Neurospora crassa OR74A: one gene and its partners. The protein of the gene in region 6 interacts with the protein of the main gene of each other region in a pairwise test. Links are inferred from orthologs where the notes say so. Each region holds a gene or a part of one and is shown on either strand. Other genes may lie near its edges. The genes, in order: fbp-1, NCU06110, NCU09813, thr-4, NCU08359, NCU01249 and NCU02998.

Region 1 (3,742 bases), on a different chromosome or scaffold from region 6:
TCACATGTTGACCGAGCCGGCAGGCCGCTGGTTGTCAACATTTCCGTCTCATATTAACATCAACAAAACATCGCGCGGCGGGAAGCCGTCAACGGTCGATTTATGCACACGCATATATACAAGTGCTGTACAACGTAATTCGTAACGAACCGTTCGGTTCTTGCTCCACCCCCCTTCAGATGATTGCTCGAGTCCGAAAATGCCGTTCGCCATGTGCTGCTTCGAGCGGTCAAAAGGCAGGATGGACGTTTGCTTTCTTCACTCTCGAGATCTAGACCACTCGACAGTACTGCTTACCTGCAAAGTCATTCACATGCGGTGTGGAGGTCATGTCTTTTTTCTTGTTTATCAGATGGAATAAGCTTACAGGTTACAGATGGATGGGATGACAAGAGAGGTTAGTTAAGTACCGCTGGACGCAAGGCAACTGAACAACTCCGGACAACTCATCACTGGCGATGTTCACAAGTTATAAAAAAAAAAAATAAAAAAAAAAAATTATGCAAGGTGATGAACCAAACAACATCTGATCATGCGCATTCATCAACCTAGGTATCGACAATCATGTCAAGCAAAAGCTCAGTCCCTAAATGCAAGCCAATCCCGATATCCAACCCCCCCAGCCCCAACACTTTTGTTGACCGAGCCCAGCTCAAGCCTTGCCGTGGTACTTCTTGACCTTCTCAACCTCATCATATGAACCCATGAAGATACCGGCCTTGTCATGGATGTGCTCCGGTACGACCTCGAGCATGCGGTTCATCTTGCTATCGACAGCTTGACCACCAGCTATCGTTTTAACACAACATATTAGTATCCATCATCATATTCCTATCTGGGCGCTCAAGGGGTGATGTGATGGAAGACGAGTGACAAGACTTACCATTCTCAAAAATCATAGCCATGGGCGCGCACTCGTACAGAATACGCAGCTTGCCCTTGGGGCTCTTCTTGTCTGCCGGGTACGCAAACATACCACCATAGAGCAGCGTTCTGTACGCATCGGCCACCATGGAACCGATGTACCTAGCGCTATAAGGCTTTCCGCTGTCCTCCTGGGTTTCCTTCAGACTGTTAAAGTACGCCTTGACGTCATCCTCCCAGTAGAGCGAGTTACCCTCGTTGACGGAGTAGATGCTCCTCTTCCTGGGGATCGTCATGTTGGGGTGCGTCAAGATGAACTCGCCCACGCCCTGGTCGAGCGTGAAGCCGTTGACGGAGCCGCCCTTCATGGTGATGACCAGCTGGGCCGAGGCGCCGTACATGGTGAAGCCGGCCGCGACGAGCTCGGTGCCGGGCTTGAGAATGTCCTCTTTCGTGCCCGTGCTGTCCTCGGCCAGCTTGTGGATGGCGAAGATGGTGCCGACCGACACACCGGCGTCCAGGTTGGAAGAGCCGTCAATGGGGTCGCAGGCAACGGCGTAGCGCGCGTTCTTGGCGTCCTTGAAGTAGATTACGTGCTCTTCCTCTTCCGAGACGAGTAAAGCGCACTTGCCCGACGAGCGCATGGCTTCGATAAAGAGGTCGTTGGAGATGACGTCGAGCTTCTTTTGCTCGTCGCCCGTGGTGTTGGAGGAGCCGGCGAGACCTGTGAGGTTTACGAGCGTGGCGCGGCGGATGTAGTAGGCGATGGACTTGAAGGAGAATTGGAGGGCATGGCAAAGGAGGCTTTTGGGGTTTCATGTTAGCTGGTAGTTCTCTTTGATTCGGTTGTTTGCGCGGTCAACAGGAAGGGAATTGGTGTAAGTGATGGATAACATACGTAAAGTCTCCAGTGGCCTCCTTGTGCTTTACTTGCTCCTCGGTGAGGAATCTGGTGAGGGTGACAATGTGGGTGTTCACCTTCTCACCGTCGTTCTCGGCGCCAGCTCCGTTTGTTGTGAAAGTCGACATGGTTAATTATGTGTGTAGGATGTGTTTTTGGCGAAATTAGCGAAAATGAAGCTTGCTACACTGAGAGTGAGAACAGGCTGGCTGTTATTTCGTGGCTAGCTAGCTTATGCGCTCTGCAGCTGTGGGATGATGTATGCTTCGTGGTCACGAGGGTTGACGTTGAACAAAGAGCTCGACCTATACGCAACTATGATGTTTGGTCGTCTGGTCGGTGGATTGGTATTGTTCCGGTGAGGAGGATAGCAAATTCAAAACACTGGTTTGGGTATTTGGGTATAAGATAATGGAAGAAGAGGGAGATTGAGAGTGAGAAGAACAGAGAGCCCGAGAAAGAGGAGGAGGAGGAGGAGGAGGAGCAGCAAGATAAGAAGCTTCCCTTTCAGTTCAGGTGGAGTGGCAGAAGACGGGAAGAGACGGTCAGACAAGCCAGGAACACGAAAACATGACAGGGGAATGTTCACAAGCCAAGGGGATCTCCTCCATCAACGTGACAGGTTAGGATCCATTCTCGACGAGGAGTTCCATTTTTATGATGGACTGGCTGAAGTGTTTCTGGCGTATGAGAGGGCCTGGAAGACAACATTCAGGCGACGATCACTGATCGTCCGTCCAGGAGTCAACACAAGCGTAATGTTGCTTTGGATCTCTTCTGGTTAAGGCGTTGAGATGATATCAGGAGGAGCTTTTCCTCCTCTCGAGATGCTACACTACATACAAAGCAACTTCAGTTGTCTGGAAGCTGTCGAGGCAACCTATGGCACAACCCCGGAACCCCGGGTTGCAGAATGGGGGAAAACGGGAGCTATGGGATGGGGCCCCTCATTCGGCCGTCGTCGGTTGAACAAGCGGTTATCGATAATCAGGGACGGGGAGAGCTACCTCTAGGTATGTCCACTCGCTGACTTGTGACATCAGCGACTGTTGGCTGGCCACCCTCCCCCCCCCCCTCGAGCAGTCTGTGGCTTCTTCTTTGCTTGTTTTGCTTTAGGTATTGTGGTTCTTGTGTACTCGTGGCAAAGCCGAATTAGCCGTCTGCTGATTGCCCACATTACTCTTCAATGACCTGTTGCGAGCTGATGTCTGAGGAGTTTGTGATAAGCCGCCGGCCGAAGGGGAACTTTCCCCAACTGTTTGTTTTTGCATATGATATGGATGAAGCCAAGATGACGAAGGGGGAGTGGAGGGGTTGCCTACCTAACGACCGGGGGCGATCCAGAAGCCGTCAGGGGCGGCATGACAGTTAGGCTGGGCGAGATCCGGGGGTGCGGGGCAACTCTGGCAAATGCAACTGAAGTCCCCCAAAGAAGATTTCCCGGGCCGACGGGACTTGCGCATGGCAATGCTTCCCATTTCTGTCGCCAAAGACCTTTTGGTGGTTGTTCTGTTCAATTTGCCAACCATCCGGCAATCGGCTCACGATGCTGAGGATTTGTCAACAAACCCGACAACACCGGCACCCAAATCTGGCAACAAGCCAACGAGAGACGGTCAAGAATCACCAAAGTCCAGAATCTCCATCATCTGACTCGGGGTTTGTACCACAATTACGAATCACTTGATGGCAAACAAAATGAACAACAACACCGCCGGTTGATTACGGAACAGAAACCATGTTGTGGCTTTTCCCTTCCCAAATTTCCCAGTCGTCCTCGTGACCAGCTCCCGGTCTGTGGAATGGAGATCTTTTCGAGCTCAGCTTGGACTTTGGAGACACTTCGGGCGGAGCTTTCCCGTGGTCCGGCAGGCACCTTGACGGCTTACCGGATTCCCTTATCGTACACAGAACCCTAACCCTTCTTGTCCAAGTGACGTCAGGGATGTCATTCAGGAGTCGTCCACCATGTTCACG
Region 2 (4,038 bases), on a different chromosome or scaffold from region 6:
AAGGAGGACTGGGATCGGAGTCGTGGAGCAGGAGTTTATTGGTCGGTCGGCAATGTCTTCTTTCTGTTCCTTTCTTTTTTCCGCTGCAGGCGACTCAAAAAGGGAGAGATACCAAACGATGGGACTTACGTACCAGTTTATCAACCTTACTACTACTATGTTATGTCTTCTTGCATTCCCTCGATATCTTGTCGCTTTTCCCAGGCCTGTACTTGTGTTGCTTGACCTTGTCATGCACTGTTGAAGCTCTCTTGTCCACGACGCGACATCGCAGCCGTCAAGCTGAGCAGAAGGATGACCGTTGATGATTTGGGGTCCGGCAGGACATTGTTACATTTTCAATGCCATATCCTCTCCACCGCCCCAGAGGTCACTTCTGCGCGACTTGCAAAAGCAAAGGTTTATTTGTTCCTGCTTCACGGGATTTTCGGACATAAAAGATGACAAGATGACTTAAGAGGTGCGTCAAGACGATTTTGGACTTTAAACGGCTATCTTAAGCATAAAGAGACCAACAGAAGGGACTGTACGTTCAAGAATTCATTGGATCCAAATGGACACGAACAAAGTTTAAACTCAAAAGATTCAACAAATTGCATGCATAAATCCTCCCCCATTTTAGTTACTACTTCCAACGTCTTGAACAGGCTTAGCACTTGTCGTTCTGAGCCTTGCGGAGGTCGAAGACGCGAATGGCCTCGTGGGCAGCCTTGACACCGCTGAGAGCCATGGCTCCGAAGGTAGGTCCTGTGGTTGGCCAGGGTTAGCATATGCAACTCAGATCAACTGAAGTAGGGGATAGTTCAACATACCCATGCGGTTGGCACCGTCAATCTCCGACAACTCCATACCGCCAACGATCAGACCCGGGACGATCTCGCGAGTGTTGTTGACAATAGCATCCTCGGCGGATTGCATATCGAGCCCGCGCATGCCGTTCAGGCGCTCCATCTGCTTCATGCTGACCAAACGCTTGACGGAGAAGGCACCAAAAGGACCATCGTGGCCCGTGGTGCTGATGATAACTGGGGCGTTGATGGTGTTGGGGTCCATGCAGCTCTGATCATCGTGATGCATTGACACGAGGGTCCAGTTGGTCACCACACCGGCAATCCTCACCTTGGCCTCGTCCTCGGCCTCGCCATCATCCGATGACGACGAAGACTCGGCGTGGTGCTTCCTGGTGATCAAGTCCTCGACGGTCGTGGCATTGAACAGCTTGACGTTGGGCCTCTGCAAGACCTTGCTCAGCACAGTCGAAGTGAACAGAGCGGCATGCTTGACCACCACGTAGTCACCCTCATCTTCATACGGCACGCCAACCTCGTCCAGGAAGACGTCGGCAGGCTTGCGCATCACCATGGCACTGAAGAGCTGTCCGCCCAACCAAGCGCCACCTCCCGGGGCGACGCCTGCTTCGACGATAGTGATGCGCAGGTCGGGCCGCAGGGTGGACAAGACGTAGGCGGCCGAGAGACCGCAAGAGCCGGCACCGACAATGACAATGTCGGTCTCGGCGTGGGCGTCCAGGTCAGCGAAGTAGCGGCGGGTCATGGCGCGCGAAACGGTAGATTCGCGAATGGGGGAAAAGGTGAAGGCGTCAGTGCCGAGGGTGGGCATGAGCTCCAGAAGAGGCTTGGACAAGCCCCTGGCATCACGCTCGACGGGAGCATCGTTCCTGCCTACGGCCTTGAGACCGACGTTGACAAGAGTGGGGACGCTCTGCGGCTCGAGAACAGAGGGAGACATGGTGATGATGGATCAGAGTTATCTGGGAATGTTAGAATGACTGTACGGGAGAAGGGGGGAGCGGGGGAGGAAAGTTGAAGCATGATCCTTTCGCTGGTATTATCCAGATCAAGTTCGTCGCCGTATATTCTCAGCCTGTACTTCTCCCCTGGGTACAGGTGCTAGAAGCGACCTAATACCCAGGACAGAAGTTGGCACCGGCTCATGCATTCAGATAGTTACCTCTGAAAGTATGTTTGAACGTGATCGAATCATGGTATAATCAACCAGCCGATGGGGAGTTCATGGCTTCAGCTCCTCCTGGAACGATGGTTTGTGGCCATCTTGGTGGAGGAGGTGGGTGGTCTGTACCCTGGTGTTGAGAGTCTGTCTGCTTGCTTGAGGGTGTTAGTATATCAACACCATGGGGGAGAGGAGACAGATGAAGCCCGAACAAGCTTGGTGATACTTGCGTGTTGGTATTTATTGCTGGTAGTCCTTGGAACGAAGACAGAGGTTGTTCGTTGATTCTGACGATGGGAAGAAGATGGGAAAGAATGGAAGAGAAGAGGCAGACTTTGTGTAGGGGAGCTGTTGCCCTTTTTATCGTTACTTGAGGCAAGTAAGGTAAGCGAGGTGGGTGCACATGTACCTACGCGACTCCCCTCCTACTCCCGGTTCAGTTCGAGCTGCATCCCGTCCCCTCTCCCCCTCGCTTGCATCCTTTTGCCCCTCTTGCCCCTCTTTCTTTTCCAACACTGCATCGTACACACTGACGGGAAGTATGCGGTTATCTGAACATGCCACACCTTCCATCATCCCATGCATCCTCACCACGAATGGTTATTTCGCCTTCCTGTTCCCCTCCTTTGCCCAAGTTTCACGGCATCGGCGATCCTCCGATCATGACCCAATGTCAGCCCGAGACTATCAAATCGTTTTCAGTTGTCGAAGCTATCAATATAGTTACCCCTCTTCATCTTGTCCGTGTCCAACATTAGAGGTTCGCTTGTTATCTCGATCCTCGACAGTGCGCGGCTTACAGACATCAATGCGTGGGCCGAACACCCCACTCTTCGGTGTCGGATGGACTCGCTGATGGCGTGAACATGAGGAAAGCAAAAATGAATGAACCGGCTAACTACGCTCAGCTACGGTACAACAGCAATTGAGGTCGCAATTTCAAGCAAGAGCTGCAGCTCGCTAATGATAGCGTTGGATGGGTGGTAGCACCGTTAACGCGGGACAAAGTCCGACACCTTGCCGACGCCGAGAACATTAACGGCCCGAACGTTCCCTTCCCCTTCTTGGCTACTACCCGTACTACGCCCCCACTTTTTTGGACCTCGTAGAACTCGCACCCCCTAAAGTGGGTGCTCACGGGTAATACGGCCACACCAGTAAAACGGCCACGTACATCTTGAACCTCAATATATTATAACGATTTTGAGTTTCCTATAATCCTCTCTCTTTATACTACCACAACGTCGTATCGCATTAGGGATAATCGCTGTCAATATGGAGGCACGTTTGCAACGAGCGGTCGCTTTTTATTACGATAATCCCGACGTCCCCGTCACCCATTTGTGCAAGACATTTGAAGTCCCCCGCAAGCAACTCTACAATTACATTAAAGGGATCCCAACTAAGAAGGGTACGCCCGTACTATACAAGTAAAAGCTTACTCTAGTTAATAAGAAGGTTCTATATAACTATATCGACCGTTTCGATAGAATTAACCTCGCTGTACGACCGTTGTATATTAAGGATATTGCAGATCTACTACTTCGAAGTAAGGCTCCTAAATCGGCCGACTCTAACAACGAAGAAATACCCCGCATTAGTATTAATTGGGCAATACGGTTTATTAAGCGCTACGAATATTCTAAAGTTAGGCAAAAGAAAATAGATAGTACCCAGAAAGATAATAAGGATATAAATAAGGTAAGTCCGTTATATTAATATTATTTATATAGGTAACGATTAATAAATAGTATAATAAGTAATAGTATACTTCGAGAAGCTCTATTAAATTATTTTATTAGAAGGCTTTATACCGTCGGATATATAGAATATAAATAAGACTAGTTTCTGTATTGGTATAGGTAAAGACTAGCTTGTTATTATAAAGCGGAAGCGAACCTACTACTTTGCTATCCCCGAGAATTGTAAATTAGTAATGTGTATTGAAGCTATTGCTGCTAATAGAGAGTACTGCCTGGGCTTTATTATCCTTACCGGTCAACTTCATATAGCCAATTAGTATCGGGTTAAAGAATTGGACCTACGAATACAGATTGCTACTGTATC
Region 3 (3,382 bases), on a different chromosome or scaffold from region 6:
AAAGCATTGTAAGGGTGTTTTTTTTTTTCTTCCTTTTTTTTTTCTTCTGCATAGCATTGGAATCAGGATGTTCAAGTTGCTCTACATTTTCTTTTACTCAATAGTGTTTAGGGGTTCATATGTACGAGTATCGAGATACAAACAATATTATAATAATAACACATCAACACACGAAACTAGGATGTCATGGTGTGGTTATTCGGGGTTGCCTTGGACTTGTCAGCGTAGCCTACCTGATAGGCATTATGGACGTCATGGTTAAATCAGCCTTGGAAGATAAGCAAGGAGTTGACGATATCCCACAGCGCTCGGGAACGACGATCGAAGCTGGGCAAATTGGAGATGATGGTAGAGGAGAGTAAAGGCTCTGTCTACGAATATGTCACTGCAACGGGTTCACTGGCTGAGCGGGGACAGATACAACAATGTGAGTCCTTGAATTCCTAGGATAATAAACACTCGACAGCGCTCGAGAATGTGCATGGCATCATAAACGAGCACTCGCAGTATTGTTACAACATCTGGGACTGGAAAAAAGGGGGGAAGAAAGGGGGCAGAAGGCCATTTGGAAAGATGCCGTGTTTACGCTTCAAACAGAAGATAAGATGCCGGCAAAGCCAGTTGGCGTCCCGTCAAAGTATGGTATAAATAGAATCAAATCAATGTTCCTCGATACCCCTCCGCCCTATGACCCCAATGATAGCACCCTCCGAACTCCGGTTCTCCTAGGCATCACCTATGCGGCGAATAGGAACAAAAGTAGAAAAAGTGCGTGCGTCCAGTGACAATGGCAAAAGCTGTGATGTTCTCCGTAACCCCGTGTCCAATCCTGCTGTCACATTCCGAAACTCCCACCCAGTCCCTGTCCTGTTATAGAATCGGATACCACTCGCGAGCTATCTTCTGGTGATCAAGTCGCCGGTTGTCGTTCCGCTTGCTACTATGCATATGGCCGGTTGTAATTTTGTCTTTTTTGTATTTTTTTTTGTTGCCTTTTTCTTTCTCCCATCTCCTTGTAGTTGTAGTATAGGATCGCCTTTTATCTACCAGCCGCCGACCTGCTCTTGGTGAACTTCCAGGCAATCACCGTCCTGCATCTCGAGCTATATTATGGTAGCAATGGACCTGGTTAGCAAACATATTTCTGGCGTGCTCGGGTGCTTCGTCTACCATGGTGTTCCCGGGCTAGCAGCAACATCAACACAGATGTTAGGTGCATGCCAGACTTCACTTACAGTGTCCGGGGTGTCCGTGGGCTGTACGCGCTGACCCTCGAAGAGGAACCTAACCGAAGCCAGCGTCTTGCCCTGACGCTCGCAGAACGCCGTCATGAGCTTCTCGAGCTTGGTGCTGCGCTTGATCTTGAAAAAGACCTCGTTGTTGTTATCCGTCACCTTGATATTAAGGTGCTCGACGGCGGGGGCGGCGGCATCGGAGCCAGCGTTTCCACTTCCGTTCTCAGCGTTGTCCGCCATGTTGATGACTTGGGAGTTGGAGATGCTAGGCAGAAGTCTAGTCGCAAAGAAATTTCGTCAATGAAAACTGGAAGGGCCGAGTTTGAAGTGTCGATGTTCGGAAATGCTAGAGTTCCAGGCTGCGATGGAAGTCAGAAATTGCGCGCGTGTCAACGCGCCGGAGAGTCTCGTCCTGCCTGTGTTGTCGCACAACGAGATGGAGCAGAAATTGGTGGAGGAACAGCAAAATTCGAGAGGAGAAGCGGATTGTCTTACTGCAGTAGATAGGCGTATTGAAAGACGCTGTGGCAGACTTCTGGTCTTGGGAAGCGTCGAGTCAAGTAGGTCCGTGAGAATTTAGAGAAGTGGAAGGCGAGGTGCACCGGGTCAAGTCGTGCTTTTGAGGTGGAAGCGTGGTTGCGGCGAATGCAGTAAACGACGGCTGGAGGGCGGTTTGTAAGACTGCAGCAGACGCAAAGTTCAGGTGGGGCCAGCCTTGAAACACCAATATTTGTACGAAACCTTGATGCCTCCTCTCAACCTGGCCAACTTTTGTGGTAAGTTGCGCTCCTTAAGGCTCTACTGAAATGCGACACATGCGTATAATACCCGTACCTGGTCCAAAAGGTGAACATGAGACGAAAGGGCCGAGGAAGGCCAATTCGTGAAGGTGTTCATACACCGAATTGCAAGCCCACAGAACTAGGTGCCCAAGTATTTCACTGTCCGCCACTTGGCACTACTTCTAGGTCAACCATTCGAATACCAATCTTTCGCTCATCTTTGCAGACCACCCGACCTTGCGTCGCACAAGCCCTATAGTAATGAACAGTTCCTTGTAGTCCTAGTCCGCGGTTAACTGCCTGTTCCAGCGTTAGGTTGTAGTGAGGCTGGTAGAAGAATGGTACAGATAGGTTGACGCAGTGGTGGTCACCGATAAGTGTTTTCGATCCGGAGAGTTCCTGACATCATCCACCCGTTTTCCTTTACTGATAGGCGCGGCAACTGGACTGGAGAATGGGGTACCGAAGCACCGGGATTGTTTAGGTTGTGGGGATTCCAAACTTGCAGGAGGGAGATCCTCGAGCGTAGAGTCCCACTCGAAGCTCTGGCTTTTACCTTCCATTTAATGAACACCTGAGCAAAGGGTACGTCTAACTGCCAGTTCTTGACTTCTTCGCGATCCAGCTTCCAACCAGACGGAGTTCTCGACCGTTCAAATTTCGATACCATGGTGGGTTTAGGCGCAGTACCAGCTTCAGGTCTCCCCTTACAGAATGTCTCGGCTCTCCCCTGAGGCACTGCTGACCGTTCATGTTGCTTTGTTAGACATTGCAAGACGACCTCGCAGCCAGTCCGCCATGCCATCCACGCGCGGTTTGTTCCATGTTTCCCTTGTTCTTTTGTTACGGCTTGCACGCGTGGTGTGCTGACATGCGGTTCTTTCGTGCCTGCAGTGCGCGATACAAAGTGAGGATGACCAGCTTGACTCCTGTGTCGTTCAGAACTCGCAGTTTGCTGACCTCACTTCACGCCGCAGATTGCCTGACCAGAAACGGATTTGATGAGAGCAAATGCCAGAAACAGATAGACGCACTCTACGAGTGTTGCAACGCGTTTTACGAAAAGAACAGCGAAAGCGCGTCAACAGTTAGCTGCCCCAAAGCGAGCCTGCTACGGCTCAAGATGGAACAGAGAAAGAAGGCTACATGAAGGAAAACAAGAGGAGTCGAAATGTATCACTTGTCCAGATATGTCCACCTAAACGCCCGTGAAGGTGTTAGGTAACTTAAACGGAAAGTGCGGTATTCCTCTGGGCGATCCTTGAGCACGCGAGAGACCTCATGGGCCTGAACAAGAAATGATGGTCTTGTTCCGAGACTCTAATAGGAATGCCGTGGACATTGTAAGGAAAAAAAAAAGAAGAA
Region 4 (3,925 bases), about 2.1 Mb from region 6:
GTCTCGGCTGGTCGTGGTGTGATCGGGGGAGTCCGACTTGCCTTCGTCGAGCTGTGATTGGGTGATTTATCAAAAAGAGAGTGGGGCGCAGCTGAAAGATGGCGTTGTCTGGATGTTTTGGATGGGAACAATGCCAAGCGAGTGGGCAGCAGGGGTAGTGATTGGTGCGGTTGGGTTATGAAGGAATGGTTCTGGAATGGAAGTGCCTGGCTTGCCTGGATTCAGTTGTGTGTTGCTGATCCGACGCGACGCTGTTTTCTGTTCCTGGGTTTGGGTTTGGGTTGAACTTGGGGAAAAGGCGGAACTGTTTTTTCAGCTGACCAGCGCTGACAGGCGGGAATTCTCCATACTGACAGGAATAACTTGTCTCCCGGCGTCTGGATGTTTGTTTGTTTTTCCCGGATGGCGCCGGGCGGGCGGTCCCTACCTAGTACCTAGTACCTAACCATGGGAATGGGAAATGACGAAAACCTAACCCAGATTGTCTCCAGGGGACGGTTGCGAGTTTTCCCGAAATAAGTACGACGGATTGCAAAATTGGCGGATACATACACTTTCCGCGCTTGATGCCGTTTGGCATCTGACAGCGGGCACAAGCTGCCATCTTCCGGCCCGGGCCTGGCTGGGATCCGAGTCGCGATGCCATGTACGTACCAAGAAACTTTGATCCGAGTTCAAATTCCAGCACTTGAACTTGCACAACTTGTGAGACTTAGACCGCCGGAAAACTACGGAATGAAGCCATCGTGAAATTTCTCGGTTCTTCCCGGATCGAGCGGAGCCCCGCAACGCGGCAATGGACAGACCACATCCGGTCCCCGAAGCGGAGCCCGTCCAATACCCGCCGAGCCGCCATGTCGTCGGGGGGGCTCCACACGTCAGCCGATCGCGAACCCGTTAAGTGCGGGACACGGATGCACCCGGAAGACAAACGCAGATGGAGCCGCGTAAGGATACGGCGTGGCTTTTGCGCCTTGAAACTTGAACGAGTCTGGAGGCGGGAGTTAGTTATCCCTTCTTTTGAAATGGTGGGCGGCCCCGGGGGGGCTTGCCAGAAACAGAGAAACATAATATCGGTAGAATTCTCGTACGATCATCAGCATCTCGTGACCATTTAATACCAAGAGACCTCGCGGGAAGCTTCGGGATGAGGGATGAGGGGTATCACAAGATTTTCTTCTGTTTTTTTGTTCGTTTTCTCCAGTGTCTAAGCCGGCTCACTGCCCAATCCCGCTTTTGCCAGCCTCTCCTCCACCTCTTTACCACCTGGTTACCCTATCACGGGTTTCACAGGCAACCCCATCCCATCCCATCTCATCTCATCCAATTCTATGGGCATCTAAGCCCTAGTAACCGTAGTCCCATCCGCAGGCTCCAACAGCTCCCAACGGCAGACAATGTTGTTGGACTTGAACTCCTCAATGATCTTCTGGGCAATCGTCTCAAAGTTTTCCGTCGCCAGCGCCAAGATGGTCGGGCCGGCACCGGACAGGCACACGCCCAAAAGACCGGGCTGCGTGGCGGGCGTCATGGACTCGACAATCTTGGTCAGACCGGGAATGAGGACCTGGCGGTACGGCTGGTGCAGCTTGTCCTGCATAGCCAGGTTGATGAGCTCCGGGTCAGGAGGGGATTGGCCGAGGGCGACGGGGAGGAGGGCTATCCTTTGGAGGTTGAAGGTCTAGTTGAAAAAAAAAAGTCAGTGGCTTGATTGGTTGATAGTGAGATAAAAGAAGAAGGAAAGACGTACAACATCCGCACGGGGATACTCGGCGGGAAGAACCTCGCGGGCCTTGGCGGTGGGGACCTCGAACTCGGGAATGATGGCCACGGCCTTGATTTCGGGAGCCCAGGGGAACTTGATGTGGTGGCCGATGCCGTGGGGAGGCGAAGGGGGCTTGACGCCCGTGTCAACACCGCCGGCGGGGGCGGGGAGGACCTCACTGAGGGGAATCTCAGTGCGGGCAGTCTCCTCGGGGGTGAGGGGCTTGAGGTAGGTGCCAACAAAGCCACCGAAGAGGGCGGCGCCGACGTTGTCGGGGTGGCGCTCTGCAATTTTTGTCAGTGTTTGTTGCTCAAGGTGAGTGAGAGTATAAGTGACTCACCAATCATGAGGCAGTAGTCAAAGAGACGCTCGGGAGTGAGGTCGTGCAGACCGCCGACCTCCTTGCCGAGCTGGACACCGGCAACGACAGCGGCGCCGGAAGAACCCAGACCTCTTCCGAGGGGGATGGGGTTCTTGATGTGCACATGAGTCTCGACGGGGAAGCTGCGCTGGTCGTTGCAGCGGAGGACGTAAAGCGCAACACGGGTGATAAGGTTGACCTCGGGATCCAGGCTGATATCCTCCTCGCCCTGGCCCTCGTAGGTGATGCGGCAGTTCAGCGGCTTGTCCGAAGTCGTCTTGGAGCGGTCGATGGTGACATGGAGCTCCAGGTACATGGACAAGGCCAGGCCGATGACGTCGAAGCCGGGGCCAATGTTGGCGCTCGAGCAAGGCGTCTTGATGACGAACTTTTCGATCTGCTGGGAAGACGCCATTGTGTCTGGAGTGAAAGTGGTTTACTACTAGGGGTTGAACCCAGTGGTGATAGTTTCACAGAAAGAAACCAACGGGAGATGGATGAACAGAAGTAAACAATCGGCTTGCCTATGCCAAGAAACACAAATGCTCTCTTTTGTGAGAATGCGTCACCTTCACTGAAATTTTGTTGAATTTCAATTGATTTCCCTTTCTGGAGGTCGGAGGGTGCCCCGATTACGGAGCGGAGCCCGACGGGCAGTGGACAATGACTCTACAGTGGGTGTCCACTTGGCGTTATGGAGCGCTGGGTGCTCCACCTTTTAGGGTTCGATCCACTAGTTTAAACCCCTGACTTGTTTGCTTCTTTTCGTTTCAAGTCAACACAGTCATCAAGGTTCTTCTTCGCTCGAGTCAACATCAATGTTACCATAGTAACGGGGACTCGTACATACATCATTCAACAAGCATTTCGATTGACTACACTAGGTGGGACTATGTGTTTTGACAGCCACTTGTCCTTCGATGAACTTGCTTTGCCTGCGCCAAGATAGAGTGTTCCTGGCGGTATTGAAAGACCTTTAAGGAAAACACAACGCTTGTAATAATATATTTCATATTACGAGTTCATCAATACCAGTGCGATAAGGATTGCTTGCCGTTCTAGCAGTTCACGTTCTAGTCCCAACAGTAAGCTTCGGCGTACAACTTGAAAGGTCCCTCAATGTCCTTTGATCTGACCATTCCTCGAGGTAAATAACATAACCATTTTTCTTACATTACGGTGTTCCTTGAGGCCAACAGTTTCATAGCTTTACAACCAGGCAGAAGACTCCATACTTCGCCCGAATAGAAAGAATCAAGCATGATCTATCAAGGTTGCTTGACACTTACAAGGCTGAAGAACCCTTTTCGGCCGTTGCTGTAGCTACGGTGCCAAGAAGGCCATGTAAACATCAGCAACCGAGCTTTCCGGATGATTGTTTGCACATGGATTTGTTTCTGGTCTTTTAGTCTTTATTTCCTGCTTCCTTCTAAATTTCACAGATCGTGCTGCTACCCAGTACTGGTGGTACGGGTACAGGCCCTCCACAATCTTCTTTAAGGGGAATTTCTTTCATCCCTTTTCAAACACTCGTATCCTGCATCAGCAAGAGTATCGAAAGAGAAATTTTGAACGCGTCTATGTAGCCACCTAGCAGTAAATTATTCTGAATAACCAACACCTTTTCTATGGAGTAATGGCTCACACTCCTGTTTCTCGGTGATCCACGAAGCTGTGCCCTCTGTCAACGTGGCGGTCCTGCCGAAACATTCGACAACGTCCTCCTCAGCCCGGCACCAGTAGCTCTCCTTTTAGGGTTTGGAGTAGTAACAGCCTTATCAGCTGTTTCAGCTGTTTCA
Region 5 (3,363 bases), on a different chromosome or scaffold from region 6:
GGCGGACCGGCATGTTTCCATACACGGCGACGGAGAAAGACTGCGTGGACTCGGCGGAGTGCACGATTTGTCTGGAGGAGTTTGAGCCTGGGGTGGCCATGGCTAGGTTGGAGTGTTTGTGCAGGTTTCACAGAGCGTGTATAAGTGCGTGGTGGGAGAGACACCCGGGCAGGTGTCCTATGCATCAACATGATGGGTTTGGATATTGAAGGGCATTAGGGTAAAGGGCGAAATGAGTCTGATTATTGGGGTATGGTGGTGCTGTCTGGAGTCATGTTTCTTTTTTTTGTGGGATCTTTTCCTGGGTCCATTCATTGCATGTTGTCTCTCTCTCTCTTTCATCGCATGGCGGTTGTCTTGTTGGGGTTGACAAATCATTAAGATAGTACGGACGTGATTCTTAATTGGGCAAGTTCCTGACTTAAGTAGCTTACTCTAGGCTGGAAGGACCACACAGCGAAACTGCGTGTCGGATAGAAGTAATGTACGTCAGGCACTGGGGTTGATACTATTTGTGTTGATCAGGTTTTGGGGCTCATTATGCCATGATTCTCTTCAAAACTGCGCGATAAAGAATACATGGGGCTTTGCCCCTATGTTTACATGACCCTGACTCCCTGAACTGTCCGCTCCGCTCCGTTCCTGACACCCAAGTTGATCAAGTGGTACATAATTGTGAGACCCTTCTGTGTCTTTCCCTGAGACCATCATATGGAAACAGTTAAGCAGCGCCCTCAATACCCATCTGATCAGGGCCAAACGACAATGGGAGAAGCTAGATATATAAAAAAAATGTCAGGAAACCCCTTTTTGAACTCTCACGAGACGCCAAAGGTCGAAGGACAAGCAAGAACGAAAAAGGTAATAACTCACATCTTCAAGCCGCAAAACACTGAAATTCTCATCTTTATCAAACATGAGAATAGGCATGCTCAATTCGCAAAACTCGCGGATACTATAACGCATCAATTTGCAAAAGCCCGGTCAGTCAGCAAAGCATATCTATCTATCTTCCACCTTTTCTCTTTCAAACAGAAAGAAAGAAAGAAAGAAAAAAAAATAAACAAACAAAAAAAAAAAAAAAAAAAAAAAGGAAAAGAAAAAGAGGAAACACCGAAAAGGGCGTAGCTAGCTGTAGCATGGATATCAGGGGAACTCACAACTGCCTACACATGCCACAAGGACTAGCAGGCGGGCTGATATCCGTCGCCACTGCCACCGCCTTGAACCCGCGGTGTCCCTCGGTAATCGCCCTACCGAAGGCCACCCGCTCCGCGCACGTGGTCACGGGGTAGCTGGCGTTCTCCACGTTGGCTCCCGGCGTGTATGTTCCCTCTGATGATGATGATGATGATGATCTCTCTCCCGTGACGGCGGCGTTGACCTTGCCGGTGGACAGCAAAACGGCGCCGACACGGAACTTGCTGTAGGGACTGTACGAGGTGGCCTTGGCGGCTACGGCGCGGTCGCGCAGCTGGGCGAATTCGGAGGGGGTTAGGTTGTAGGTTTGGCAGGTTTGGGCGATGACGGTTTCAGAGTGGCCGTTGAGGATGGGTGGTGTTGGGGGCGCCATGGTGTGGTTGTTTTGGTGATGGTGGTGGTGATGGTGGTGGTGAATGTGACCCAAGTGTAGTGGTTATGGGGTTGGGGATGCCTTCTGTTTTGTGTGTGAAGAAGAATGGCTGGATGGTGGAAGATGCTGATCAATGAGAATTTGAGGAGAGAAAGAGCACTTTGTGTGTTGTAGTCGTCACCAAGTCGGTACAGGTAGGCATAAATTGTGTCTCGAGTTGAAGACTGGAAAAGTGTATCGTACAAACTCGCCTTTCATCCCTCCTCCCCTTTCCGTCCAGATTCTCCCGGGTCTTTCATTGTTTAGTACCTCGGGCCGTTCCCCAGACCATTGTTTAGCCTACCCAGGGGTGATTTCGGCCAAAAGACAGCGCATCCGACCGACTACCAGCGAGTAGGTGGTGACAACGGGGCGTGCCGACCAGCGGTCCCCGGAGAGCGGAGAAAGAGCGGAAGCTAGCAGGACGGCTACCCCGCCACCCCGCCCTATTCGTTATCTTATCTCTTAGACCTTCTTGCTTTGCCCTGCAAGCCCCTGTAACATCGGCGGTCCCTTGCCTATTGTGGGAACTGACTTATCTCTCAACTCAAAACCGCGGGTCATGAGGTCACTATCAAGAAAAGAGTCGGTCACCATTTCGGCATACCGCTTCCGGTGTATAGTTGAATATGTCCAGGTCAAAGAATGGGCAACCAGTCATTACTCTGTAACAGGACGTGGCATATGTCTTTTTTCATGCATTTTTAGATTTTTACAAAAAATCGCCGGTTAAAGACGAATGTTTTGAAAATCAAGATTGGGGACAGAATGGACGATTGGTTGTACTTCCGATATCGAGGTTATCCGAGATGTTGATATCGAGATAGAATACCGACACCGGATGTAGTCTTAATCTTAGCCTCTTTGTCAACTCGAGACCTCTGGTCAAGTTCCCTAGGCCTTTCATCCTATTAATACGTGTCGTTCCATATTCAAGAGCTGAACTATCTTGGCTTGCTTAAATATCCCAACTGCAGATATGTGATGTCAAAATTTATGTGTGCGTTTCCGATCAAATTCTTAAGCATATCCCATCCATACCTAATGACCTCAATGTGTCCTCATGATGTTTGAGGCAATATGGGACTAAGTTGCGATCAACAAACTGGCATTAGATTGTGCAGACCGGTTCTTTCACTGACGACAACTGCAAGTTTGCAAGTGTCTGGTCCAGACATAAAGCGTCAAATCTCCAACAATATATCTATTTTTTCAGTATATCAATACGGTGAGTCTGGCTTCTTTTAAACCTCTCAAGGGATGTATGTTCCCCAGGCGCAGTACTTTTCTATTCCCAAATTCCAATATCCCACGGATTTCGTCCAGTTTTTCGTCCGTTCGTTACCATAAATCCATCCCTTCCACCCCCATAACCTTTTATTTTGCAAAAACGATATCCTTCAACTTCTCCTTCTCACCACTCTCTTCACACATCCCCCTAAACACTCCACTCCCACCATCCTTTTCCCACAGCTCCCTCGGCGTTCCAAACTCGGCAACCTTGCCATCGCTCAGCACCAAAATGCGATCAAAATCAGCAATCGTGCTCAAACGGTGAGCAATAACGAGCAGCGTTGCATCAGTGAACTCCTCGCGAATAGACCGCTGGATCAACGCATCCGTGTGCATATCCACCGCCGAGGTGGCCTCGTCCAGGACCATAACTCTCGGCCTCGAAACGATGGCGCGCGCAAGGCAGAGGAGCTGGCGCTGGCCCTGAGACAAGTTGAGACCGCCTTCGGAGATCTGGG
Region 6 (4,228 bases):
CACCTTGCTTTGGGGGCAAGAGTGCTACCTGTGCTGAAGCGGGATAGACGGGTATTGTCGCTGCCTTGTAAACGCAAACGGTGGTGATCTTGCTGGTGATGAGAGACTTTGGGTTGGACTTGAACCTCTGAACTTTTGCGCTTAGAACAACAAGCACGTCTCCGGCGCCGACTTCGGGCATCCGTGCCTCGGGGCGGAAGATGACGAGCTCAACTCCGGCCGATTCATCTTCAATGGACAGGTCAGATATGGTCAGGGTGCACTTCCAGTCCGATCCGTGTGTCGCGACGGGTGCTCGGCAGTCCTTAAGAACACCAATGACATTGACCATGGACCCGGGCTGGGCATCACCGTCATCGTCGAGAATGGCTCGTAGGGGTGTGAGCGTTGACGGAAAAAGTGGTGGCTTTGCCTTGGCCGCCGGTTTCCTGTCTCTGAGCGGGCGCATCATCTGGATATCCCAACTCTCCGTTCCGATTACATGGCGGCGGATGAGTATGTGGATGAAACACCACCAGCGGTTGGTCGTGATACTTACCAACCGTTGTAGGGCAACTTGGGGACTTCAGTGTTATACGTCGTACATTACGCGTTCACTTTACGCGTCTTGAAAGCGGAAATGGCACCTGCCCAATCGCCAAGTTTGCGCGACCGCATGTGCAGGGCAAGGGTCTTGGCCGCCCGTCGGGCCAGACCATCAGACTTGAAGCGCTGTGCTTTCAGCAAGCCTTGCAGGGCTACGGTAATGGTTAGACGCATGGTCTGTGCTTTCTCTTACCTACCCAGTATAGTCATGAGGGGTCGGGGACTCCCGAACAGGACCTTGCAGGCCAGCCTCCCAACACAACCTAAAGCCTGGAGGTAGCAAAGACGTATCTACCTAGCTCAGACGGTGGGAGGTTGAGAGCGGCCTTTTGACGTCGTTCTTTCAAGTAACTGAAACATGTCGTAGTCATTCAGGGAAACGAAAAGCTTGCGGCTCGACGGACGCGGCCTGAGGTCGATGAAGTTATGACGGGCAGTGTGTAACCTGCAAACAATCCATGACGTTCACAAGCAAAATGGAAGGAATGAGAAGAATGCCTGGAGGGTCCAGCCGCTCTGAGGTGGGGCCACCCAATGGTGGACAAGTTCCTGCACTCCAAGAACAGCGGACAAGTTACAAAGCTGCTCATGTGGCCTGTGCTCGAGCTTGGCTCTTCCATCCCCACTTTCAGAAGCCAAACTCTTTTCGCTACAGTTGGTGCCAGCATTGGGCGCTGTGGGCAGTGACTGGGCCACCTTCAGGCCTGAGGGGCAGCTGTGACTGAGTGGCAGGCAGGGCACAGTGACTGCCTGCACTTGGACTTCACTTTCGTGGAGGTGGAAAGTGCTGGTAGAGGAGGGGACAAGCCGCCGCCGCATTCTTGTTTCCGCTTTCTGCTCGAGGCGCGGGCGAACTCCCAAATTCTTTCATCGTCGCTCCTCAAAAAACACACAACTCGCCTGCCCCATCCATCCCCAAAACCCAATCCTTCTCTGACGTTTTCCGTCTCGCCGACAACGCACCCATACTTTTCTCCGTCCCATTCAGGATTGCTTTGGCAGGACCGTATCAACCGGGCTCTTCCAATTCTCCGGCTTTTCTTGATCGCATATACCTCCCTTTGAACGGCTCGCAGCAACTTCGTCGCCGGGGCTTCATCGATTGCATCGCCCCTCGTTTGCCGCCTTCATATCACACCTCCATCACCCATCCGTCTAGACACCGTCGTCTCGACATCGCGTCGCAACCATGGCTGACCGATACATTCCCGAGCATCGTCGCACCCAGTTCAAGGCCAAGAGTGCTTTCAAGCCCGATGAGCTTCGTCGCCGTCGTGAGGAACAGCAGGTCGAAATTCGCAAGGCGAAGCGCGAGGAGAACTTGGCCAAGAGGCGCGGTATTGGTGCTGGCGACTCGCGGCCTGGAGCTTCCCTTGGTGCCGCCCCCGACAGTGACGATGAGAACCCTCCCACCGAGTCTCAGGTATGCAAACCTCTATCTTACTCCCCTTACATGATCGGCCACAATTTTGCTACTGCGTCCGTCCATCGCCTCTCCCTTCTCTCCCCCACGTGTACCCCGCCGATGATGGTGATGCTTGAGCCACAAACCCCCAGGCAGTGCCGAACCTGCATTCAAGCTGCGCGCGCAAACTCGAACATTGTACAAACGAAAACCACCCCACATTCCGTCACGTCCCCGATCTTTGTTATAGTTGATCTCCACATGCTAACCCAGTTGTCATAGTTGAGCGAGGACCTTCCCAAGATGGTCGAGGGTGTCTTCTCCAGTGAGATCGATAAGCAAATTCAGGCGACCACTAAGTTCAGAAAGCTGCTCAGCAAGGAGCGCAACCCTCCCATTGAGGAGGTTATCAAGACCGGCGTCGTTGGTCGCTTCGTCGAGTTCCTCCGCTCCCCCCACACCCTGGTCCAGTTCGAGGCCGCTTGGGCCCTTACCAACATTGCTTCGGGCTCTGCCACTCAAACCCAGGTTGTCATCGAAGCTGGTGCTGTTCCCATCTTCGTCGAGCTTCTCGGAAGCCCCGAGCCTGATGTGCGTGAACAGGCTGTTTGGGCTCTCGGCAATATTGCTGGCGATAGCCCTCAATGCCGTGATTACGTTCTAAGCTGCGGTGCTCTGCGTCCTTTGTTGACCCTCCTTGGTGATAGCCGCAAACTTAGCATGCTCAGGAATGCTACCTGGACTCTTAGTAACTTCTGCCGTGGCAAGACTCCTCAGCCCGACTGGAACACGGTTAGTTCTCTCGATCACGAACAATCTAGTATGTCTACTGATCCATCATAGATCGCCCCTGCTTTGCCAGTTCTCGCCAAGCTCGTCTACTCGCTCGACGACGAGGTTCTTATTGACGCTTGCTGGGCCATCTCCTACCTCTCGGATGGATCCAACGACAAAATCCAGGCGGTTATTGAGGCTGGCATTCCCAGGCGTCTTGTTGAGCTCCTCATGCATGCTTCCACCTCTGTCCAGACGCCCGCGCTTCGATCCGTTGGCAACATTGTGACGGGAGACGATGTTCAGACCCAGGTTATCATTAACTGCGGTGCCCTTCCCTGCCTCCTGTCGCTTCTGAGCTCCAACAAGGATGGCATCCGCAAGGAGGCTTGCTGGACCATCAGCAACATTACTGCTGGAAACTCGGCTCAGATCCAATCTGTCATTGACGCCAACATCATCCCTCCTTTGATCCACCTTCTCTCCCATGCCGACCTCAAGACTCGTAAGGAGGCCTGCTGGGCTATCAGCAACGCGACTTCGGGTGGTCTCCAGAAGCCCGATCAGATCAGATACTTGGTTGCTCAAGGCTGCATCAAGCCGCTCTGCGACCTTCTGGCTTGCCCTGACAACAAGATTATCCAGGTTGCCCTGGATGGTCTTGAGAATATTCTCAAGGTTGGCGAGCTCGACAAGAACGCCGCTGGCGATGGCCCTGACTCGATCAACCGTTATGCCCTATTTATCGAGGAATGCGGAGGAATGGAGAAGATTCACGACTGCCAGACGAACGCCAACGAGGAGATCTACATGAAGGCGTACAACATCATTGAAAAGTACTTCTCCGACGAGGACGAGGCCGGTGATGAGGCCATGGGCGCTCAGCAGCAGTTTGGATTCGGTGCTTCCGGTGGTGCCCAGCAGGGTGGCTTCAACTTCGGTGCTAACGGCACCGAGTCGATGGACATGTAAAATGCTGTACAATCCGTCTAGTTCTTTTTACGAAGGGGATGGTTGGGTTAAAGATTGGGATGAGGGGACCCAGATGTGATGTTGATCACGGCACCATCTGGGAAATCCTACCATAAACATCTTACCCCATCAGCCTTTCGGCTCCCCCATACGAGTTCATTCGCCCAAACACAAGTCACAACACGGCAGAACTATATTGCTTCAATCTCATAGTGCCCCCTCACGCTTATTCACCACACCATACCCCTTGAATTGGCGTTATCAAAGTTATGTTTAAAAGAGAAAGGCGAGGATAAGTAGACGCACATGGAGGCCGATTGGTCCTTTGGTGCGAAAGCTCGAACCTGATGAGGACACGATGATGCGTTTTATGATGAAGGGAGAGTAAATCAAAGGGTCTGAATGGTAGCTTGAAAGCTCCAACCCTATAGCCATGTTCGGACGCGCAGTGATCAAGCCAAGGAGAAGGGAGCGGGAGCCTCGGGGCCGATG
Region 7 (3,489 bases), on a different chromosome or scaffold from region 6:
GGTGAGGAAATTGGGGTATCGCTTGGTTTTGGGGAGCATATATCCACATGATGCCCAGATTGGGTATGCCTGGCTGAATGCGAGGCATATCCTCAGTATGCTGAGCCCCGGGGGAATCATTATTTGTCATGATCGGAGGAGCTGGACACCGCCCATGTTGAGGAAGGTGTTGCCGGAGATGCAGAGGAGGGGCTACAAAGCTGTGACGGTGTCGCAGCTTTTGGAGGAGGCGACGGGGTGAACATATCGTCGATTGAGGATTATTAGAATTACTAGACTATATTGCTTGTCGGCGTTAGGGAAAAGGGGCGGCGAAATCGATTTGGGTGGGAATAATTATCACTGAAGCGCAACCCGCAGTGAACCATGGTATAGCATTTTGCGGCCATCTCACTAGGAGTGTCAAAAACAAGACTCGAAGATTATTCAACGTGGCACAACATGGGATGGCTGGATTGGAACCAAAATAACCATCTATGTGCTGGAATTTGGAGAACATAATGCACCAGGTTTGGCATTGATCACGGATACGTCAGTCCATAACACTTTTGTACCATTTTGGTGGCGCTCATCTCCTGTTGTTGTGCAACTCCAGTTCCTCCAAGTTCGTATCACTCACAATGGTTGAATTGGCCTATTACAGCCAGCTCATCGAAGCCGGGTAATACTGCATGCTTGAATTGTAACGTATCATACCAATGTGTCGTGCACTCAAAATTTCATTATATGAATCCATTAGCTCGAAATTTCAGGGCCGGTGCCCTTCTCGACATTGATCTTGAGCGAAAAGTCGACGTGCGGCACGCCCTGGTGAATGGAGCTTGTCGAAAGGATATCGATATCTAATGTGCTTGTCAGCGACAATTCTACTGGAGATGATTGATCCGGCACACTTACCGTGGCAAATGTAGGACTCGGCGTTGTCGGCAGTCAAACCACCGGAAACCTCAAGCAAGAACTGCTTCTTGCCAGCCCACCTTTCCTTCAGGCTGCGAGCAGCGACCCTGACGCCCTCACCAGTGAAGTTGTCCAGCATAATAATGTCGGCACCGGCAGCAATCGCCTCATCAGCTTCCTCCTCACTCTGCACCTCAACCTCGATCTTGAGGCTGAAGCCGCCGGCCGCCTTGGCCGCCTTGACAGCCTCAGTAATGCTGCCGCGGCTCCACACGTGGTTGTCCTTGAGCATGGTCATGGTGCTGAGATCCATGCGGTGGGTGTCGGCTCCTCCGACGAGCATGCCGTACTTCTCGACAAGACGGAATCCGGGCGTGGTCTTCCTAGTACCCGCCACAATCCCCTTGTAGCCGGCACTCCGCAGGTTCACCAGCAGGTGCCGGCTCTGCGTAGCCACGCCGGAGCAGCGGGCCAGGATGTTGAGGGCCACACGCTCGCCCTCGAGCAGGCCGCGGGCGGGACCGGTCACGGTCGCCAGCGCCCTCTTTCCGCCGTGGGTCTCGACGTGGCAGCCCTCGGTCGCGTGCCACTCGACGGTGCAGCCGCACTGCTTGAACACCTCGTTGAAAAAGGGCACGCCGGCCAAGATTCCCTGCGACTTCCCCCAGAGAGTGGCAGTGCGCGGCGCGTCGCCGACAACGAAACCGCCGACGTCGAACGAAGGAGTGTCCTCAGCAAGCCAGGCTGTTATTTGGGACTTCCACGAAACAGGGAGGATGTGCTCGAGGGAGCCGTGGTCGAGGGCCATGTCAATCATGATGGGCGATTTTTCTCAATTTTGATTTTTTTTCCTTTTATTTTGGTTGCGTCGAGTCCTGGATCTGCAATTGGTGAGTGCTTGTTTGTTTTGGGGGGATATGTTTTGATTTGATGGCTGCAAAAGCTATCTTGATAGAGGCAGTCTAGGTTCTTAGTCACACTTATGAGAGGCCACTCATAGGTTGCGGGATGAGATGAGCGGAAGACACGCCGGGTCAGCTCCGACAATACCCGCTGAAGGTCTCGATGAGCCGGGATAGGTCCAAGCAGACGGTTCGGCAGGGTTTGGAAAAGAGAGGGGCGGTGCGAAGACACTTCTGGGCCAATGTGGGATTTGCAGTGCACTTACAGATGTCGCGATGTATTTGAAGTCGTCGCCGATTGTAAACACTTGAGACGATGACGTTGAATGTCCCCAGAAAGCCCGGGTCCGCTGCCGGGCCGCGCAATTTCGGGGAGCGGGGGAGCGACAGACTGGGATTTCGGGGCTTCTGAGGGGAAGAAGGGGTTGCCTTGTTAACCCTAACCTGTTAGCGCGGTTCTTCCATTCATCAGGCATCACAGCCTCAAAGTCTGACAACGCTAGACGTCTATTTAAACAACACCAGAGTATTATGATACCGTCCCTTTGAAAAAATATATATATATATTCATATATATATCGTGTCCTGCACTCTCGTTGGCATTTTGCCCCCCTTAATAATACGTGTCCTTGATTCCGCAATCGTGCCATGGTTGTCCCGCACTGACAAGCATCAAGGGGACGCAGTTATCGTGCATGCTCGGGTCAGTCGGGGTCTTCCAACATCAATTCTCCTCCTCCGGGACGGGTGAAGGTCATTGTCACATCACACCTCAGGAACAAGTGATCAACACCACGGTCAAGGGATAGCTACTCGGAACTCCGGACCTTGGTTTGCTTTGTGGTCCACGATTGCGCTCTATATGCGGTCTTGACATCTGATGTCTCGAGTGCGCATACTCGGCCGTCACCATTGACCTGCCACTTTTCAGCTTCACTCGACTCAGGCCAAGACCAAGCGACTTTGACACATGAAAAGCCTCAACACCCAGAAAAACTTTTAGTGATACCGAGAACGATGAGACGAGTGCCGTGACCGCCTTGCTGTCATCTGGCTTCGACGCCTTCTCTGTCAGCCAGCTTCTTCATTCTTCATACCGAAGACTTCCTGTCTTGCTCAGGATGACCCGCTTCCTAATTTATCGGCCTCCTTTATCCTGAATAACCTGGCTCATACCATTGGCCCGGCGTTGTATACACCCTCATCTTTCAATATATTCTTCCAAGTGTCTTCGATCGACCCTGTGACACAGCCAATCAGCCAACCCCAGATTCTTTCCCCGGAGCCTGCGACGCCGTGTAGATGCCATTTCTCTAGGATGATACATGTCGCTTACAGCTGGTCAGCCATAGAGGAGTGTGTTCATCTATCTACATAACCCAATCGGCTCGGTGGTTCTTTGACTGACACCTTAGTCCTCACCTTCCATGTAGCTCCTCCACCACTGATTCCTGGAATTGGAAGCTTCGTTAATCCCTACTTTCCATCCACCTCCTTCGTTTAATCTATCTCAACATCCTTAATGCCACTCTAGTCTCATCAAATCTCCGTTGGACCGCTTGCGGTGGCTACGCATTGAGCTTTTGCCATGGCTGCCCGATGACACGAGAACAGAATTTCTTTCCCGAAATATTACGTGCCATGGAAGTTTGTTATCCAGTTGGAGGAATCCGGATGTTTAGCTTGGAAA

What was found.
Region 1: the proteins of NCU01249 (region 6) and fbp-1 interact in a two-hybrid assay, tested with the Saccharomyces cerevisiae proteins (2 studies listed by BioGRID). The link is inferred for Neurospora crassa OR74A from reciprocal best matches to the Saccharomyces cerevisiae genes SRP1 and FBP1.
Region 2: the proteins of NCU01249 (region 6) and NCU06110 interact in a two-hybrid assay, tested with the Saccharomyces cerevisiae proteins (2 studies listed by BioGRID). The link is inferred for Neurospora crassa OR74A from reciprocal best matches to the Saccharomyces cerevisiae genes SRP1 and THI4.
Region 3: the proteins of NCU01249 (region 6) and NCU09813 interact in a two-hybrid assay, tested with the Saccharomyces cerevisiae proteins (2 studies listed by BioGRID). The link is inferred for Neurospora crassa OR74A from reciprocal best matches to the Saccharomyces cerevisiae genes SRP1 and SMT3.
Region 4: the proteins of NCU01249 (region 6) and thr-4 interact in a two-hybrid assay, tested with the Saccharomyces cerevisiae proteins (2 studies listed by BioGRID). The link is inferred for Neurospora crassa OR74A from reciprocal best matches to the Saccharomyces cerevisiae genes SRP1 and THR1.
Region 5: the proteins of NCU01249 (region 6) and NCU08359 interact in a two-hybrid assay, tested with the Saccharomyces cerevisiae proteins (2 studies listed by BioGRID). The link is inferred for Neurospora crassa OR74A from reciprocal best matches to the Saccharomyces cerevisiae genes SRP1 and CDD1.
Region 7: the proteins of NCU01249 (region 6) and NCU02998 interact in a two-hybrid assay, tested with the Saccharomyces cerevisiae proteins (2 studies listed by BioGRID). The link is inferred for Neurospora crassa OR74A from reciprocal best matches to the Saccharomyces cerevisiae genes SRP1 and BNA6.

What each region holds. Positions count from the first base shown.
Region 1 is NC_026506.1:853,930-857,671, forward strand, and holds fbp-1 (fructose-1,6-bisphosphatase), read right to left. Parts: upstream 2,405-3,742; 5' UTR 1,894-2,404; coding exon 1,763-1,893; intron 1,669-1,762; coding exon 884-1,668; intron 790-883; coding exon 653-789; 3' UTR 501-652; downstream 1-500.
Region 2 is NC_026507.1:1,764,339-1,768,376, forward strand, and holds NCU06110 (thiazole biosynthetic enzyme), read right to left. Parts: upstream 2,801-4,038; 5' UTR 2,202-2,800; exon of another isoform or gene 2,120-2,201; 5' UTR 2,101-2,119; exon of another isoform or gene 1,772-2,100; 5' UTR 1,750-1,771; coding exon 813-1,749; intron 748-812; coding exon 650-747; 3' UTR 123-649; downstream 1-122.
Region 3 is NC_026501.1:4,134,519-4,137,900, forward strand, and holds NCU09813 (SMT3, variant 2), read right to left. Parts: upstream 1,918-3,382; 5' UTR 1,731-1,917; exon of another isoform or gene 1,513-1,730; 5' UTR 1,476-1,512; coding exon 1,236-1,475; intron 1,104-1,235; coding exon 1,044-1,103; 3' UTR 501-1,043; downstream 1-500. Other genes in the region: NCU16378 (DUF1903 domain-containing protein), read left to right, coding at 2,686-2,688, 2,784-2,831, 2,912-2,924, 2,995-3,167. UniProt on the Saccharomyces cerevisiae protein: Not known; suppressor of MIF2 mutations.
Region 4 is NC_026505.1:5,469,577-5,473,501, forward strand, and holds thr-4 (homoserine kinase), read right to left. Parts: upstream 2,768-3,925; 5' UTR 2,542-2,767; coding exon 2,106-2,541; intron 2,050-2,105; coding exon 1,751-2,049; intron 1,682-1,750; coding exon 1,340-1,681; 3' UTR 501-1,339; downstream 1-500. Other genes in the region: NCU04278 (hypothetical protein), read right to left, coding at 3,811-3,925. UniProt on the Saccharomyces cerevisiae protein: Commits homoserine to the threonine biosynthesis pathway by catalyzing its O-phosphorylation.
Region 5 is NC_026501.1:5,632,317-5,635,679, forward strand, and holds NCU08359 (cytidine deaminase), read right to left. Parts: upstream 1,890-3,363; 5' UTR 1,574-1,889; coding exon 1,161-1,573; intron 956-1,160; coding exon 874-955; intron 776-873; coding exon 722-775; 3' UTR 501-721; downstream 1-500. Other genes in the region: NCU08360 (hypothetical protein), read left to right, coding at 1-209; NCU08358 (hypothetical protein), read right to left, coding at 2,990-3,363. UniProt on the Saccharomyces cerevisiae protein: This enzyme scavenges exogenous and endogenous cytidine and 2'-deoxycytidine for UMP synthesis.
Region 6 is NC_026505.1:3,366,333-3,370,560, forward strand, and holds the start of NCU01249 (importin alpha subunit), read left to right. Parts: upstream 1-1,428; 5' UTR 1,429-1,774; coding exon 1,775-2,008; intron 2,009-2,272; coding exon 2,273-2,782; intron 2,783-2,833; coding exon 2,834-3,736; 3' UTR 3,737-4,228. Other genes in the region: NCU01248 (hypothetical protein), read right to left, coding at 1-451. UniProt on the Saccharomyces cerevisiae protein: Functions in nuclear protein import as an adapter protein for importin beta nuclear receptors. Binds specifically and directly to substrates containing either a simple or bipartite NLS motif. Promotes docking of import substrates to the nuclear envelope.
Region 7 is NC_026501.1:8,474,443-8,477,931, reverse strand, and holds NCU02998 (nicotinate-nucleotide pyrophosphorylase), read right to left. Parts: upstream 2,142-3,489; 5' UTR 2,066-2,141; intron 1,779-2,065; 5' UTR 1,715-1,778; coding exon 749-1,714; coding exon of another isoform or gene 736-748; 3' UTR 501-735; downstream 1-500. Other genes in the region: NCU02997 (polysaccharide deacetylase), read left to right, coding at 1-241. UniProt on the Saccharomyces cerevisiae protein: Involved in the catabolism of quinolinic acid (QA).